Arabidopsis thaliana: one gene and its partner. The protein of the gene in region 1 purifies or fractionates together with the protein of each later gene. This does not show direct contact. Each region holds a gene or a part of one and is shown in the gene's direction. Other genes may lie near its edges. The genes, in order: AT1G53060 and PPa2.

What was found.
Region 2: the proteins of AT1G53060 (region 1) and PPa2 fractionate together in Arabidopsis thaliana (co-fractionation; one large-scale study listed by BioGRID). This does not show direct contact.

The regions. Positions count from the first base shown.
Region 1 is NC_003070.9:19,770,666-19,782,216, forward strand, and holds AT1G53060 (Legume lectin family protein), read left to right. Parts: upstream 1-5,257; 5' UTR 5,258-5,386; coding exon 5,387-6,115; 3' UTR 6,116-6,365; downstream 6,366-11,551. Other genes in the region: AT1G53050 (Protein kinase superfamily protein), read left to right, coding at 1,909-2,325, 2,604-2,888, 2,979-3,296, 3,399-3,626, 3,728-3,828, 3,955-4,063, 4,157-4,564, 4,648-4,866; AT1G53070 (Legume lectin family protein), read left to right, coding at 7,706-8,524; AT1G53080 (Legume lectin family protein), read left to right, coding at 10,703-11,551.
Region 2 is NC_003071.7:7,931,423-7,939,174, reverse strand, and holds PPa2 (pyrophosphorylase 2), read left to right. Parts: upstream 1-4,821; 5' UTR 4,822-4,964; intron 4,965-5,602; 5' UTR 5,603-5,614; coding exon 5,615-5,756; intron 5,757-5,846; coding exon 5,847-5,875; intron 5,876-5,973; coding exon 5,974-6,039; intron 6,040-6,261; coding exon 6,262-6,369; intron 6,370-6,463; coding exon 6,464-6,529; intron 6,530-6,618; coding exon 6,619-6,739; intron 6,740-6,830; coding exon 6,831-6,912; intron 6,913-6,993; coding exon 6,994-7,036; 3' UTR 7,037-7,252; downstream 7,253-7,752. Other genes in the region: AT2G18245 (alpha/beta-Hydrolases superfamily protein), read right to left, coding at 1-63, 151-344, 973-1,075, 1,194-1,822; AT2G18240 (Rer1 family protein), read right to left, coding at 2,711-2,779, 2,890-3,124, 3,348-3,709; AT2G18220 (Noc2p family), read right to left, coding at 7,324-7,630.

The DNA.
Region 1 (11,551 bases):
GGCCCAAATTTGTTTTATTGTCTAAAATGAAGATGACAAGTCTATTAAATTCGGTCGTAACTTGTAAGCATAATGTGGATAATCACTCTTCTCCAATTATTAGGTAAACGAACTGATGCTGACGATTATTTTTTTCTTATATCTTTGAAAATCATTTCATTCATATCATATAACTACAGTATTATTTTAAATAAAAAAAAATCTTAGAATTTGATATCATTCAAAAAAGTGTTAGTTCTAATCAGGGTTCTAACTGTTAATGCCAGTAATGTGAACATTAATTATACTCATAATTGTATGCGATAAGATTTTTTTTAAACTATAGAATACGGTGTAAACTATAATTAGTTGACCATTCATGCAATTATTGTTTTTATTTTATTAATAGCAAATTTAGATAACTTTTAATAAAACGAAAAACTGATTCAGAAAACTGTATCTTAAAGTCAGGTAGATAGCAAAATAGAAATGACTTGGAGACTAAAATTGTATAATTACTTCATTCAAACTATAACGTCCCTATTTAAAAATCTATCTTAATTTCATTAGTGCAGGGATTATGGGAATTAAAAATAAATTACATATGGAAGATGGAAGCGAAAGCGAAAAGGCTTTTGACGTTTACCTCAATAGAAAATTTCAATACTCTCGTTGCATGAACATGAAGTTTACGCGCTTTGAATATTAAATTATAGTCTATAGATTCACTATTCTTGTTTTTCTTTACTTCGTAAAGAACAAAAATTTAGTTTTGTATAGAGTTAAAAAAGACAAATACAATACTAGTTCTTACAATTCACTGTAATATGAATATGTAACAAATTGTCCGTCATAAGATTATAATAATATAATTTTATTAGAATGTATTTTTTTTTAAAAACATAAACCGTGTTATAGTGATATTTTTGATACTCGTTACACTGATTTACGATATTATTTCTTTATATAATGATATTTATTACGTAAACTGTATAATGTATTTAATTTTTGGTGAATTTATTTTACAATTAGTTCAAAATTTTAAATGAGTTGGAAAACAAATATGAAAATAAGGGTTTGATTAGTTTTTTTAATTATGATTATTTAAGATTAGAAAAAGTGTTTTTTAACGAATCACATCGAGAATGTCTTTCTCATTATCCAGTTTCGATTTTGTCCCACACAAAAAAGTAAATTAAATGGTAAGGTTTTTTTTTGGGTTCAACTATTAAATAAGTTATTAACTGCGAAATACAACTATACTCATAAATACATAAGTGAAAAAAAAATTCACACTACCGAACGTATTTATTATTATTAAAATGCTCATAATATTACTTTTTGGAGTTTCCAATTTTTACAAAGGTTTTTTAATTCATTCAACATTGTGCTTCAACAACACATGCGTCTCTCAGAAATCTCTCCGCCCCAGATCCATCTCTCTCTCAAGCAAACACTCTTAAACCCTTTTGATTTCTCCTCATAATTATTCTCGAAAGCTCCATTGTTTATTAGTTATTCCTGCAAATTATTCAATTTTACCATTTTGCTTCTGGTTTTTTTAGTCGTCTCTCTCTCTCTTCAATCTCTTGAAAGGTACTTGCTTTATGCACAAAAGTTATAATCCTGGGTTTTTTTGTACTACACTGTAGTTATTAATGCCTGAACAATCTTCTTGATCTGGGTACATTTTGCAGATTGAGTAAAAATCATTCCTTTTTTTTTCTGGGTTATATACACTGTTCTTCGAGTTCTAGGGTTCCTTAATTTCGTTTCTCCTTTTTGGAAAGTCTCTGACTTTATGTGTTTTAATGGGTCTAGTTTTTTCATGTGGTCCATTTAATTAGCTAGTGGAAGAAGATGGATGAATTGTGTAAAGATTATTTTTGGTTCTAAGTATCAAAAAAATTTGGGGGTAAATTGAGGGAGATGGGTTGTGTTTGTGGTAAGCCTTCTGCTATTGAAGATAGCAAAGATAGTCCAAGAGAGCGTTTCTCAAGCAAATCCTCTTCTGAGTTTAGAGTTTCAAGACCGGTTGCTTCTTCTAGAAGGGAGGAGCCGCTTAGGATTAAGGAACGGTCTGATGTTGTTAGTGTAAGACCAGTGTTGAGTAATAAGCAATCCAATGTTTCGTTGCATTTGCGTGGAGAGAATTTGAGTAGAAGAGAGAAGAGGATTGAGAATGTTGCTGCTACTTCACCTCTTGCAATGAGTATTACCATAGCTAAAGCAACTGAAGGAGAGTATGTAGCTGCAGGTTGGCCTCCATGGCTGGCTTCTGTAGCTGGAGAAGCTATCAGGGGATGGGTTCCTCGGCGTGCGGATTCTTTTGAGAAGTTGGACAAAGTAATCTTCTTTTCTTTGTATATATACATTCATTTTGAAAATACTGTTAAATAGACTCTTTTGATTGCATGACATATAGTGGCATGTTTCCGTATTTAGAAACATATCCTAAGCTCCAAAGATATGGGTTGCAGTAAATGATGCTTTTATGTTATTGAAAGTGGATTTTGTTTTTCAGTTGATGGTTTTTAAAACTATATAACATGACCTGAAAAGGTTTTGAACTTATAGCTGTGAAGAATGATCCCTGATGCAGCGGTTTTAATTGTTTTATGCAGATTGGTCAGGGCACTTATAGTAATGTATATAGGGCTCGCGACCTGGATCAGAAGAAAATTGTGGCTTTGAAGAAAGTTAGGTTTGATAACTTGGAGCCAGAAAGTGTGCGTTTTATGGCTAGAGAAATCCAGATATTACGCCGGCTTGATCATCCTAATATCATAAAGCTAGAAGGCTTAGTTACGTCAAGAATGTCTTGCAGCTTATATCTTGTTTTCGAGTACATGGAACACGATTTAGCTGGGCTAGCCTCGCATCCCGCGATAAAATTTTCTGAATCACAGGTAACTTTTTTTTGTTTCTATTCAACATCTTCATGACCTAGGCACCACTTTCAGTACAATTTTCTGAGGCTGGGCTTTCTTTTCATACAGGTTAAGTGCTACCTGCAGCAACTATTACATGGACTAGACCATTGTCACAGTCGTGGTGTACTCCATCGGGATATAAAAGGCTCAAACCTGCTAATAGATAATAGTGGAGTTTTAAAGATTGCTGACTTTGGATTAGCTAGTTTCTTTGATCCTCGTCAAACTCAGCCTTTGACCAGTCGTGTGGTAACTCTTTGGTACCGTCCACCTGAGCTTTTGCTCGGAGCAACTCGCTATGGAGCAGCAGTTGATTTGTGGAGTGCAGGTTGCATTCTTGCTGAACTATATGCAGGCAAGCCTATTATGCCTGGTAGAACCGAGGTAGATTTACAGTTTTTGTTTTCTCTTTTAGTGTTTGCTCTGATTTATGTTAGACTAGTTTGGTTTCGTAAGGTGACTCTGGTAATGCTTATGGTGTTACAGGTGGAACAGTTGCACAAGATTTTCAAGCTATGTGGCTCGCCTACCGAGGACTATTGGGTAAAATCAAGGTTGCCTCATGCAACAATTTTCAAGCCTACTCAACCATATAAACGCTTAGTGGGTGAAACATTCAAGGAGTTTCCTCAGCCAGCTTTAGCCCTTCTTGAAACTCTCCTTTCAGTCAATCCTGACGATCGTGGAACTGCCACTGCAGCTCTCAAGAGTGAGGTACTGGCATTACTCAGGCAGTAAAAGCTGTGTGTTCTTATGCGTCTGTATTTCCTGGTAATCGCTTTTGTAACATCAAATTATCATTCTTTTATTTTCAGTTCTTCTCCACCAGACCTCTTCCATGTGATCCTTCAAGCTTGCCTAAATATCCTCCCAGCAAAGAGCTCGATGCAAGAATGCGGGATGAGGAAAGTAGAAGGTATGCCATCCAGATTTTCTAGTCTGATGTGACTTTTATCCTGCAATGCTCTTACGATAGCATAGTATCATTAACGCAAAAAGAAATATTTATAGAAATGCTTTAATCTAGTTCCTGTTTTTGTAGACAAGTTGGAGGAAACAGGGACCAAAGACACCAAGAAAGAAGAGGAACTAAGGAATCTCGAGCCATCCCAGCCCCTGACGCAAATGCAGAGCTGGTTGCATCAATGCAGGTTAAAAAATCTTAAAAAATCTATTTCTTTCGATGTTAAAGCTTTTTGCTTTTATTCAACGTTTTTGACCCTCTCGCATTTATGTCATTGCAGAAAAGGCAGAGCCAGTCTACTAATAGAAGTCGAAGCGAGAAGTTTAATCCACATCCTGAAGAAGTTGCATCCGGTTTCCCAATCGATCCACCAAGGCCGTCATCACAAGCATTTGAACCAAACAGAGAATCTCAGGGCAATATAATTCCTCACAAGAGAGCTTCACATTCTGGTCCTCTATCACGTAGATCTGCTTCCGCAAAGGGTAGACGGAATTACCAAGATTCTCAAAAGGTTTCATCCATAGCTGATTACTCAGCAATGCCTGGTTTTGCCGCAACAAGAACAGGCGCACCACAACAAGAGACTTGCAGAGGAATGACTCGGCTTCCAGGTTCATTCAAGGAAACGTCTGAAGAAGCAAACCAGGAAGAGAATGGTCGAAGCAACAAGAAAGACCCTATTCTCGTAAGTTCCCTAAACGTCCCTCCTTTGCTAATTTTAGAAGACTAGCAATGTTAATATTCTGAGTTGTATGGTTTGGTTTGCAGTTGGGTTATGGATCAAAAGGGCACAAGATTCATTACTCAGGACCGTTAGTGGTTCCATCAGGAAACATGGATCAAGTGTTGAAAGACCATGACCGACATATCCAAGAAGCTGTGAGAAGAGCACGAATCGATAAGGCTCGAGTCAAGAAACTTCAAGCTGACGAAGCTTCGAGCCAACAAGTCGCAACCAATCATCCCTCATCTGTTTCTAGCCGTTGATCCATCAGTGAGGCAAAAGTAAATGATCAAACCGAACCTCATTTGCCTGAAACCTTTTAACACGGCGTATTTTGAGTGAAAAATAATTGTATTTTATTGATTCAAAGATTATATATCATCATAGAATCAAATCTTTTCACGTTTTAGCTTCCCTGTAATGTGATATTATTTTATTATAAGAAAGCTGTAGAAACAGAGTTATATATCATAATTTAGAAAATGTTCCAAAAGTTGAACTTTTTAATTTGTGACTTTTTATGAAATTTACCAAGAAAGGTGTTACGAGATCTTTACTTGTGAAAAATAAATGATCTTGTCGAGTCAAACTTTGTTGGCTCTCTTTCACTATATAAATCTTGTTATCCTCTTATACTTTCCATATCCAAGAAAAAAATAAACAGAATTGCAGATCAAAACACTCTGTTTCATTCCTCTGTTTTTTGCTCTGTTTTGCTCTCACGCCATAACGTGTTCTGCTTACAGTTTCGACTTCATTTACTTCGGAAATGGAACTGATCTGATGACATTCCATGGAGACGCCGAGTACGCTTCAGAGCCTGATGGTATGAGCAAGTCAGGAGCAATTGGATTGAGCCGTGACAATGTCCCATTCTCTCATGGTCGAGCCATTTTCATCAATCCAGTCCCTTTTAAGCCTAGTTCTACTTCTTCCTCTGTCTACTCTTTCAAAACTTCTTTCTATTTCGTCATTAGTCCTCGCCCGAAAAATCCTAATCCCGGTCATGGCCTCGCCTTTATCATCGTCCCCAACGATAGAAACGACTCCGCTTCTGGTTTAGGCTATCTCAGTCTTGTGAACCGGTTTAGCAACGGTAATCCCAAGAACCATCTCTTTGCGGTTGAGTTTGATGTTTTTAAAGACAAGTCTCTTGGCGACATTAACGATAACCATATCGGAATCAACAATAATTCGGTTAATTCAACGGTATCTAAGAAGGCCGGTTATTGGTATCAATCAAAAATCGAAGGAAAAAACCGGTGGTTGTTCAAGGAATTGAAGCTAAGTGGAAACGGATACAGGGCTTGGATTGAGTACGAGAACGGGAAAGTGACAGTCACGATCGGACGTTCACAAGAAAAACCGAAGAGGCCATTGATCGAAGCACGAGTCGATCTTTCTAAGGTTTTTCTCGAGAAAATGTATGTCGGTTTTGCCGGTTCAATGGGACGTGGCGTCGAGCGTCACGAGATCTTGGACTGGAGTTTTGAGAACAGTGCCAAAGACTAATAAACCGGTTTGCTTCAGCTTTGTTTATGTCAAAGTTGTTACTGGTTTTGCAGCTTCGTTTTCTGTCGTGAATCTCGTGATGCTAAGGCTAGTGATAGTTGAAGGCTAATAAATGCTTATGTTATGGCCTAACGTGCCATGTATCTACTTTCAGATTTCTAGAAAGATTTACAATAAAGGATCCATTTCCATAGTAAGAACTATTAGATATCGTAATCTTCTATGAGACGGTAAATTGCTGAAAAACCAGTAAGGCATGTGCCTATGTAGGCTTCAACATAGATCCTTTCCTGCAACGATCTATGTCAAGAATTAACTACAAATATTCGTCATTTGAAACATATTCTCACACAATACGTTTCATTGAGTGAAACTCGGTATACAAACTTAATCACACCATGAAAATAGACTACTCTCCACACACAAAAAAAATGTACCAGTAAGGAAATTTGAACACATACGTATGACATCCAACCATATCATGATACTTCTTTATCATCAAGTCGGGTAAGCCCTATTTCGCCTGATTTGGCTCTCATCTCAAAATTTCTCCGACCTTTTTCTGGACGAGTCGTCTCGTCTTCTTTCCCTTTTTGTAACCTCATTGCAAGTTTGCAACAACAAAAACAATCCAATGATTACTTCATTGCATGGTTTAAACAAAAACAATCCAATAATATATATACATATTTTATCAATAAAGTATATTTATAAGTTAGGTTGATTTTTTTAATATATTTTTTTTTTATTTTTTTATTTTATATTATTTACTAAGACATTCTATTTTGGTTTAAAAACTTTAGAACTAAATGGTGATGATTTAAAAGTTAAATGGAGTGATTTAAAAGTAAACAAATGTTTCTTTAGTATCAAACTTTGTTAATTTTTAGGTCATAATCAAATTGAATGACATTAAAGAAAAATCTAACCATTTAATATACATATATACACATAATGGAAATTGTTAATTTGGTGATAATAAGAGAAGTTAAAAATACATGATTTGGTAACTCTATATATTTGAAAAAAATTTAAATGTGTTTGGTAAATGACTAAATGGTTTAAAGAGAATGAGGATAAAGAAAAATGTGTTTGACAAATTGATAGTTATAACAAAATAATTAAATAGTAAAAAAGCTGAGAGAAAAAATGTGGGATTGTCACATAAGCACTAAAAACTTTTAATATATAAAGGACACATAGTATATTGTTAATTAAGAAAAATTTGGTTTTGGTATAACTTAATGAAATATGATAGATTTGATCATGAATGTGGACTAACTTATATCTTTCCTAACCTATATATTAGGACAGACTAACTTATATACATATATAAGTTTATTCAATCAATACTAGTTTTAATTTCCTCCTATACACTCATAACGTTTTTGTTTTCAGCATTGTGGGCACAGAAAAAGTAGAACCATTTTGTGCACTTTCGAGAACAGCTTTTGTCATCTAATGCCATAATTCAAATTCTTTGTCTCTCTTCTCTCTCAATTATTTTAAGTCTTCTCGATCTTTTCAACACTCACATCTTTTAAAGTTCACCACTTTCACTTCCCAAATTCCCAAAAACAGAACTAAAAAATGAAGATCCAAATACTCTGTTTCACCACTCTGTTCTTAGCTATCTTCACCTCTCAAGTCACCACTGCTTACAAATTCAAATTCGATTACTTTGGTAACGGCACCGATCCAATATCATTCCATGGAGACGCTGAGTATGGTCCTGACACTGATGGCAAGAGCCGGTCCGGAGCCATCGCATTGACTCGAGACAACATTCCTTTCTCTCATGGTCGAGCCATTTTCACCACTCCAATCACTTTCAAGCCTAATGCTTCAGCTCTTTACCCTTTTAAAACCTCTTTCACTTTCTCCATTACTCCTAAAACAAACCCTAATCAAGGTCATGGCCTTGCTTTCATCGTCGTCCCAAGTAACCAAAACGACGCCGGTTCCGGTTTAGGCTATCTCAGTCTTCTGAACCGAACCAATAACGGTAATCCTAATAACCACCTCTTTGCCGTTGAGTTCGATGTCTTTCAAGACAAATCTCTTGGCGACATGAACGATAACCATGTCGGAATCGATATTAATTCGGTTGATTCGGTGGTTTCTGTGAAATCCGGTTATTGGGTTATGACAAGAAGCGGTTGGTTATTTAAGGATTTGAAGCTAAGTAGTGGAGATAGATACAAGGCTTGGATTGAGTACAACAACAATTATAAAGTAGTCTCTGTTACGATTGGTTTAGCGCATTTGAAGAAACCGAACCGGCCATTGATTGAAGCAAAATTCGATCTTTCCAAGGTCATACACGAGGTAATGTATACCGGTTTTGCTGGTTCGATGGGTCGTGGTGTCGAGCGTCACGAGATTTGGGACTGGACTTTCCAGAATTAAGAAAACAGGTTTGGTTTGGTTCGAGATCATCGGTTTTCTTTTGGTTTATGTTTCTGGTTTACCCTGGTGTGCCTTCAGCTTGTGATAATTGAAGTGAAATAATTGCTCATTTTATGTCTTACCGACAATTTGATGTATTATTGTTGTCAGATTAGTAGAAATCAAGGACGTTTCGTTCCTAATCTTTTATGTTAGTCACTTTTAAATTACATTTCTCGTTGACAAAAAAAGAAAAAATGATTTTACATTCTATCAAAATTGGCCAACATGACTAGATGAGAATCAGATTTATAGGAGAAATGTGGAGATCGTAGTTATGGGACTATCAAAATAGTCTAAAACATCTTAACATGTTTACCGGAAAAAAAGAGTCTACTACCAACTATGTTGTTTTGTGGAAGACTTTTAAAGAGGAAATGTTACATGCCAAGTGGATTATAACACTCCATGATGCGACTTGGAAAATGAGAGATCTAGGAACGAAGGAAAGGAGGACTTGATGAATTGTCGGAAAGTTGTCTCGTTTCTTTCAGATTATGTTGTAAAAGTGTGATAGAGATGAATGCTCTTTGAGATTATATATCGTGGTTGTATATACGCTCTTTCTCATATCTATTTCGTATTCTCCCTCTTTCAGTGAGATATTTTTTTAGTGTTTTTGCTTTATCCAATTGAAGAGTGTGTCCTCGTTGTCGAGGCTTGGACAGACAGCATCTCATAATTTTACCTACGACGATGTGATTTGACTACAATCATCAATCTGCTAGAATAGAATTTGACGTGTTTTTGGTGGAGGATCGTGCTAGGCAAAGGTGACCATGCGACAAGCGAAAGGAATCATTGATCTAGGACCTCCAAAGTTTTCGGCCTCATCAACAAAACAATAATCTAAAAATGGACCCTTTGCAATATAACAAAGCCTTCATGAACTCTAATTTTTTAAAATGTTTTGTCATTTCTTTGATAACTAGTCCAAAAAATACCAGAACAATCTTTTCTTGCGTTTGGACTCCTTAAATATCAAGACCGGCTCTAGTGGAAATATAATTAGTAGTAAGGATTAGATAAATTTTCTTATGAGTTATTGTGTTTATTCGACTTTAATGATAAACTAGATGAGTACCCGCACTACGTGCGGGTTTATGTATTACTATTTACAAATTGTTTTATATAATGTTTGTTCATATAACATAAAGTAAAGTTGAATGCATCGGTTTTGAAACATAAATATGATTTGTAATTGTTTTTGAAAAGTCCAACTATATTAGTTCATATGAAAAACGAATATGCTTGAGTTGTTTTTTTTTATTGTTGTTCTAGATTCTCAGTTTTTTTAAAATTTATATATCCTTGTTTTTTTTGTTATATGTTTAGATTGTGGGACGGTGAAATTTTAGAAAATTTGTTTCTTATACTAAAAATATAACATGTCTTTATTAACCATGTCTTTGCATATTAAATCTAATCATATTTAACTTGATGTTCTTGGAAAGTTTAGTTAAGTTCTTGTCATAATCTTATATCTTACATATTAGTTATAAGGATAGCTCCTCAAACATCTTTCAAAATACTTGTTTCTTAGCATAATTCTCGAAAAGCTTAGATATATTTAATCTGCATATTCATTTAGTTTCTTTCATAATAATCGTCTAATTTTTAGGCAAGGAATATGTGTAACATGTTTGGATTTTATGATCACTTTAACCACTCAAGTAGATCTCAAAATTAAAGAGGATATATTGAATTAAAAAAAATATAAAAACTGTGATGGTTCAAGTTCTGATTAATTATATCCTCTTATTTTAGTTGTTATGTTAAATTATTACTAATTATTTATTACTAATTATTTATTACTTATTTTATGAAGTTTATGTGGCAAACTCTATGTGCTAATGTGTAAAGTCGTGAGAGAGAGTTAACAATCCTTTCGATTCATAATAATTGTTTTGTTCTTTAGTTTTTTTTTTCCATCCATCTTGAATTCAGAAATCAATGGTTTATCACTAAAAAATAGTCTTTTTCGTGTGCCCAGTTGGCGCTATCATATTTGACCTCTATATATGTTTGAAAAGTCATAGTTGAAGTTCACTGGCTTTCGTCACACTATATATTACAGCACTACTTCCACTTCCATAACACCAAAAACAAAAACATACACACGTAAACAACAAACGCATAATGCAGATCCACAAACTCTGTATTTTTGTTCTGTTCATATCTTTGTTAAGCTCTAAAACCATTTCCGCCGTCAAATTCAACTTCAACCGTTTCGACGGAACAAATCTAATCTTCATCGGGTACGCCGAGCTAGGACCAGCAACCGATGGCATGAGCCGGTCCGGAGCTCTCTCCATGACCCGTGACAACATTCCATTCTCACATGGTCAAGGTCTCTACACAGATCCAATCCCATTCAAATCTTCCAACAACACATCTTCTTCTGTTTACTCTTTCAAAACATCTTTCACTTTCTCCATCACTCCTCGACGGTCAAACCCTAACCCTGGTCATGGTATCGCCTTCATCGTGGTCCCAACCGTAGCCTACGAGTACGACCAAGACTCAACCCGCGGCTTCCTCGGTCTAGTTAACCTCACAACCAATGGCAATCCTAATAACCATCTCTTTGCGGTCGAATTCGATGTTTTCCAAGACAAACGTTTTGGTGATATTAATGATAATCATGTTGGTGTTAATATTAACTCTGTTAACTCAAAGGTTTCTGAGAAAGCTGGGTATTGGATTCAGACAAGAACTAGAGGGAAGAATCAATGGTTGTTTAAGGAAGTGAAGCTTAGTAGCGGAGACAACTACAAAGCTTGGATTGAGTATAAGAACAGTAAAGTCATTGTTTGGCTTGCACCTGCGCATTTAAAGAAACCGAAGAGGCCATTGATCGAAACACAAGTTGATCTCTCGGAGGTGGTTCTTGAGACTATGTATACCGGCTTTTCCGGTTCGATGGGTCGTGGCGTCGAGCGTCACGACATTTGGAGCTGGAGTTTTGAGAACACCGCCAAAAACAAT
Region 2 (7,752 bases), on another chromosome or scaffold:
AGATAGAGCTGAGGACATGGAGGATGGTTCTCATATAGTTTTTGAATGATTTTTGTTAGCCTCCTGCGATACAAACAATAACTCAGATTAATCAACCTAATATACAAAGAAGAAGCAGATGGGTTGTCTACTGTGTGGTGTGAAGCTTACGTATTGACGTCTGGGTGGTTTAAGAAGATGGGGAAGAGTTTCTCCAGAGATGATAGCATTATGTTTTCGATTCCTAAAGGTTCCTTCTTTTGTGGTGTTGAAGCATCCTCTTCTTTTATGGGACTGTTTGGTTCTGTGGTTATGGTGGAGCTACGCTTCTTCAGTATAGCCGCGGTAAACCCCGCTGCCCAAATCTGCAAAAGAACAGAATTCAATTGTTGATCTATAAAATCTGCACAGGTGTACGCATTGCTAATCTTATGCAAGATGAATGATTATGATGGCTTATTAGGACTACGCAATGATTAAGCAATTTTCAACAAAAGGGGCTTCAGAACAAACTCAGGCACATACTATGAAGCTCATTTTATCTTGTTCACATGCCTAAGACATCATATCTTGCAAGAGAACAAGATCACATTCACAAGATATATAGGCCGATGTACTATAAACCTGTGAGTGATGGCTACGTAACCAAAAGAAATCAGCGGTTTTAACTCATAGCTATATAGTCTTTTCTAAGTACTGAGTTATCTATCTACAAAGCTAATTGCTTAGATATCAAAATCAAAAGTCCCCTAGCCATGGTTCTGCAAATGCTTGTAATCGATACAAAGTTCTTCAACATAGAACTCAAACTAGCAAAGCTTTCACACTAGCATAAAATGAATCATTATTGAAAAAGAGGACAACATAGCTCAAATAGAATTTTTCACTTCACAACAATATTGACATTTCCACTTCCAATACAAGATCTTGAAGCAGTGGAGAAACCATTGAATAGCATTTAAAACTCTTGGTTACATGAAAGAGAGAACAAACCTTAGTATCAAGAGGATCTGCTCCTCCCGAGTCAATGATACAACCCTTAATCCTTTCTACTAAATCTTGTCTACCAATGAAGCTCTCTAGCAAGGCACCATATCTACCAAAAGTAAAAAAGCCCACCATGCTTAAAATTCATCATCTAATTCAAATCAACACTAAATCACAATCGCAATCACAATGTAGGATTTTGAAGGATTTTGGTTTCATCAACCTACACAAGCCAACCAGTGTTACTGAAACTGTGAAACACCAAGCATTTCTCTCTACCATCATCTTCTTTCTCCGATACCCAATTAACCAATTCATTCCCAAATTCAGCTATCCTTCGTTCAAGCCGCCGACCAAGATCTAACCGGAGCAAATCCCTAACGTCAACAGTGAAAGTAACGGCGTTAATTCCCCTGGAGTTGTACCACTCAACGTATCTCCTTAGATGTTTAGCTTTCGCTCCTAGCCAACCAAGGAGAACCACCGTCGTCTCTTTCCCCTCGTTCCCGCCGAATATCGCCGCGTTTCCACCTCCGTTCACGATCCGTGGAGCTCTGTTCCAGACGGCGACGCCGTCGTTAGGTTCGGATCGGAATGGATTAGCGTGAACGGCGGTGTTCTCGAGACGAAACGTTGACGTTAGGAAGAAGAGTGATCTGAAGAGATTCGCATTCGCAGGGAGCGAAGAGCACCGTATACGAGCGGCGGAGATAGAGGATTTTCGGGTAACGGCATTGTGTAGTAGCTGATTTGTGGAATTGATATTACGGGGATCTGATTTTAGATTGAGCTTACTGAGAAGAAGAAGACGATTGAGAGCAGAAGAAGTACTCAAGATTCTTGTAGTTGCTTCCATGGCGGATTTTGGATGATTCGCAGAAACCAAAAAGCTCTTCTCGTCAAATCGCTGATAAGTGATGAATAAATATCTGAAAAGAAAATAAAAATAGAATATTTATAGGAAATTAAACAGTCTTGCTGAATTAGCGGGTTTCCCTTATGCCTTGGAGCTGATTCAATCTCTCTTTTCAGACTTTGAAATGTTCCATTTTGGTTTACACCATCTTTTTCTCGGATCAAAGAGTACAACATATCTGAATTGGACAACAGTCTGCGGTTTTACGCACTGCACTTCCTCGGAAACTGTCTTATAGAGTCTCTCCAGTAATCTCTCATTGCTATATCCTTCACTATATTTTGTTGTTGTTGCAAATGTAATTGTGCATAAACCCTATGAATATTTGCCAAACCGATATCTAAACCAATAGAAGTCAAGAGACATAAATGCTTGAGAAGTATACTAACCTAGGAAGTCAAGTAAGTACACTCGAGTCCACACAGTTCTCCGAGTATGATGACCAATCTGTATCTGTTTCTGCAAAGAGATTTGGACCAGTGCTTGGTATTGGAGGCTGTCAACACAGCTTTGTGTGATTAGTTGTGTCCAGAGTAGTATCCAAGTCCTGGAACTGTAAAGAATACTTTTTCCTACTTGTGATTCCCAAATTCATTTAAACGTATAATTGTAAAATACACTGTTACACATTACAATGCAAAAACCGGAAAATGCAGGAGATTACTCAAAACTCAGAGAGATTTCTTAGTTCTGTTAAGCTTCAAGAACTTTGTTTTCCTATTCCACCAGCATGGCTATAGTATATTTTACTTTGATATCCTTAGTTTGTATCCTTTCTTGCTTCGCCTATCACCACGTCGAGATCAGTACCTGATCTACTGTTCGCATCTAATCTTGTTTTTCATTTCCCTGAGATGAATTGCTGCTGCTGGGCCTATCATCTCCACCATCACCCTTCTGTCAAAAACATCAGCACAATCTATGTTCAGCACTCTTAACTTTCTAAAGCAGAGATTCAAGACTATCCAAAAGAAATCGAATACAAATCACCCCGTTGCACGATTTACCTTGAGTCTTAAAAAGGTCAGGACACTGTTTACAAGAAACTTGAGCAGCTTCACAGGCTTTCTTACATCGAAAGGAAAGTATCTATACTTGAACATGTGCACGATTAAGCGTTTCATAGTTAAAGAATACAAAACCAACCAGTAACACAACAAGATCGGCCAGAACACAGGCACATCCAGGAAAGAGAAGAATGTCATCACAAATGCAACAACAAATGCTTTAGTCGCTGCATACCTGAAAATCAAAATTGACAAACTTTCATGAGAATTCAAACCCTAAAGCAGACCATTAGACCTAAATCAGTTCTCATACGAATTCACTATCATAACAATCATCAATCAAATTGTCTCAAAAGAAGAAATCTACCAGAACTTTAACAATGAATGGTAAAAACACAAACTTTTCGACAAACCTAAATCAAAATCATCCATCATCAAAAGTAAAAGAGAAATTTTACCAGAACTTGAACTCAGGAAGACGACGAACAAAGGGCTTATACTCATCAGACTCATCAACAGGTAAAGAATCAGGATCCAAAGCTTCAAGTTCAGGATCAACTTTAGGGGAAAGGAAACCAATCAAGAGATTTAAGATATAAGTAGCTAAGCCATAAGAGATAACGAAGTATCCATAAACAGAGTAAACCCTATAGATATAGATCACTGCAGCGACTAAAGTCACAAGCCATCTTCGAACAATGTTAGGAGCAGATCTGTCTAAGTAATTCTGAAACGATTTCGAGAATTCGATTCTCCATTTTGCAAGTGGTGAAGCAACTATGGTGTCTGCTTCATTTTCGCTTCCTGGTTCGTCTTCCATGGAAATTGAACACAAAATCTGCTTTTTCTTCACCTCAAAAACTGGGTCTGGTTATAAATTCTAATCACAATCACTGAACTTCGAATCAACTTCAAAAATCGATTCAAAACAATCTACTCGATTTAGGATGATTTTGAACCAATTAAATTGAAAGTTTCTCAGTTTCGTCTGAATTTTTCTTAGTCGTATTAAAGTCTTGGTTTTTCTGGAAAGAAGAGGAAGAAACTGAATGACGTGGGGAGAAGGAACATGACACGTGTCGCAAAGTAAGATACTTTTGTTAAACATGTTGGGCTTCATAAAATATTTGTTTAAGCCCAGTAGGGAAAATATGTTGAACTTTTTTTGGTTTTTACATGGAACGATTCGATATTCTGTGAGGCCCAACCAGAAAGAATCCAAAACCGAATCTTTTTTGTTTCTCTGGGACCTTAAACCGAATTTTAACGTTTTGCGTATGATTCTCTAGACTTGTAATTCTAGTTGACAGTCACCAAAAAAACACTGCTCGATGGTCACATCCATACGACACAGTTTTTTTGGTTGTGGTTAACCCCACAGCTCAATAATGATCATTTTTTCCCATTTGACATATTAGATACTTATGAAAAAAGAAAAATATCAAAAGTGGTAATTTGTTATTCAACTTGTTTTTGTGACAGAATAATGAAAACAAAAAAGAAAATAATAAATACACAGAATAATGAGTGACTGATTTTGAGTGAAAACAAAAAAGAAAGAAAGAAGAATGAGTGATATAAATTCATTTCTTTATCCTAAGAAAATAATAAATTTGTTTGCCAAAAACAGACAAAATAAAATAAGGAATTCACTGAAAGAAATTGCCTAATTTTCAGGACACGCGTCATATAACAATTTGTTAGTCGGATACTTTTTTGGTACATCACTGTCGTCTCTTTTTCTTTTCGTTCAATTAAAAGGTACACTAACTATTTTTTTAAGAAAGATATTAAAATCTTGAAAAACCATGGCCGTCAGATCCATTAACCTTTCAAATTCAACGGACACGATTCATCGTACGATTGACGATGAACAATAACCGAGGAAAAAGTGACGTCAGCGTCTTCTTCCTCCTCCAACGTCCCATAAAGAAGCGCCACACACACAGTCACACGAAAACTCTACTGTAACTGCAAAATCTTGTTGTTTTCTTAAACGAAGAGAGAAGAAAGAAAGAAAAAAACGTTACGGATTCTCTGCTTCGGTTTCGCGATTGAAGCTTGAGATTTCATCTGTAAGATCATCTTCTTCTTCTTCTCTCGTTTCTTTTTTTCCTTCGAAATCCGTCGATTAGGTCATTTTTAGTTTATCTTCTCCTGTTAATGGTACTTGTTTTGATCACTTCTTGTTGAATCGAAGCGATTTCGTTTGATTTTGCTATTTTCTTGTTGGTTTCGTTTCGTTTTGAGCGCCGAGTACTTGGATTGGTCTTCACAGATGATCGATTCGTCGATTATCTTTCATTTGTTTGGATTAGTTCTGTTTTTCGATTCTATTTCAGTTTCCAATTGATGTAGCTTAGACTAGTTGGTGATTTGAGTGTTTTGATGTGTATTTACATGAAATCGATGATGGATCTATGTTCTTCGCATATCTCTGATACTTTAGCCTTTCGCGTTGTTAGATATTTGCCTAAGATGATATTGAGTTGCATTAGAACAGTGAACCATCGTAGAAATGTGTGCTTCATTTCTCTGCTCGGATTTGAACAGTCATTTTTTATGGTTTATAAGATTGGATTCTGCTGGAATGTTGAAGGATTTGTCTGGTGGTTATTGTATGAAATGGTTAAGTAGTGAGAATAATTTATATGGCCTGTTTTGAGTTTGGTATATGATTGAATGAGACTCTCCTTTTGTTTGCATATTATAGTGAACATCCGATATGGCTGAAATCAAGGATGAAGGAAGCGCCAAGGGCTATGCTTTCCCTCTCAGGAACCCTAATGTTACGCTGAATGAGAGAAACTTTGCAGCCTTCACTCACAGATCAGCTGCTGCTCATCCTTGGCATGACTTGGAGATTGGTAAGAATCCTTGTCTTTGTTACTTTGAATAGTCATGTGAGTCAAGTGTTGATTGTTTGATGTAAGTGTTTTGTTTGTTGAATCTTTCAGGTCCAGAAGCTCCTACTGTTTTCAACTGTGTAAGTTTTATCTTCTTCTACATTGCGGAAGATTAGATCATATTAAGAAAGTTAGTGCTGGTCTTGTGATTGTTAAATGTGCTTGAATTCTTTGTCAGGTTGTTGAAATTAGCAAAGGTGGAAAGGTTAAGTACGAGCTAGACAAGAACAGTGGCCTTATTAAGGTACAGTGTTCTTTGGCAGTCTCTGCTTGCATCATATATGCTTTGATTGAGTATAACCTGTCTTCTGATCCCTCAATATATAGTCTGATTATGCGGTTATATGAGGAATTCTTTGTTGCTAGATATATCATAAGTCACATTTTATGCATTCCAACTAAATATCCTTCACCGTAAGAGTCGAAATGAAGAAAAACTCTGATCACTGAAAGTTTTCCTCTCTAGGTTGATCGCGTTCTCTACTCATCCATTGTGTACCCCCACAACTACGGTTTCATCCCTCGAACTATCTGTGAAGACAGTGATCCAATGGATGTCCTGGTACTGATGCAGGTGCTTTCTCTCGCCTCATCTTAGCTTTCATGTTCATACAAACTTGATGTAAACAGGCAGTGAAATAACAGACTTGAGATAAAATACTGTGCAGGAGCCTGTGCTAACCGGATCATTCCTCCGTGCCCGTGCTATTGGTCTAATGCCCATGATTGATCAGGTAACAAAAACTCTTAAACCCAATTCTACCTCTATGTAATGTATTACCTTAGTAAGAAACCAGGAATCACCTTGTTCTGAAACTTGCAGGGTGAGAAAGACGACAAGATCATTGCAGTATGTGCTGATGATCCCGAGTTCCGTCACTACAGAGACATCAAAGAGCTTCCCCCTCACCGTCTAGCTGAAATCCGTCGCTTCTTTGAGGACTGTATCCTACAGAGACATGTTGCATTTAACGTATAATTTTGTTTTCGCTTATGATTTGTTTTCAGTTTTCACTTAACAAACAATGTTTTTAGACAAGAAGAACGAGAACAAGAAAGTCGACGTTGAAGCTTTCCTTCCCGCTCAAGCTGCCATAGACGCTATCAAGGACTCCATGTAAGTTTGTTTTATCCCAAACACCAAATTATTTACACGTTGTTTTGTTAATAATGAGCAATGTACTGTTTTGAAACGCAGGGATCTTTACGCAGCTTACATCAAAGCTGGCCTGCAACGCTAATGAAGAAACCAGTCCTTTTCCGTTCCTCCCGGTTTGCTTAGACATCACTGAAGCCGCCTTCTATACTACATGCATGTTAGATAAAATTTCAATTGGTGCATTTAATTTCGTAATGCTCATCAGAAAACATTGTTGAACTTAAAGCTTTCTGATGATGATGAAAAATTTCCAGTACAATCATAAAATTTGAAATATTAGCTTTTCTTTTCCCCAAAATTTTGTTTAATGTTGTTTCGCAAACATCCGAAAAGTACTCTCATACAAATCGAAGAAGATACAAAAAAAACTTAAGAAGCTACTCGGGCCTTCTTCTTCTTGGTCTTTTTGTAAGCCTTATGCCAGGTCTTATAAGTGCCCTTAGTCTTCTTAGATGTCTTGGTCTCAGGATCTGCAATTTCGTCTACTGCATCATCTTCATCTTTGTCTCCTCCTATATCAAACAGATCCTCTTCCTCTTCATCAGAACTCAACACAAAATCCTCCACAACGTCATCTTCTCCTAAGCCTTGCTCATCCTGCTTCTTCTCTGTTTTACTCTTTCCACCTCTCTTCCTTTTCTTCTTTTTCGTTTTCTCTTCTTCCGGCTCTTTTTCTCTGTTAATTACACATTTGTTGTTTTAGGTTATATCACAACGGTCAGATAAAATATCTACGTTATAGGCGTAGGAGACAACCCGGTTCCCATCCTATCTATATTCTTAAGTTGATAAAGCCAC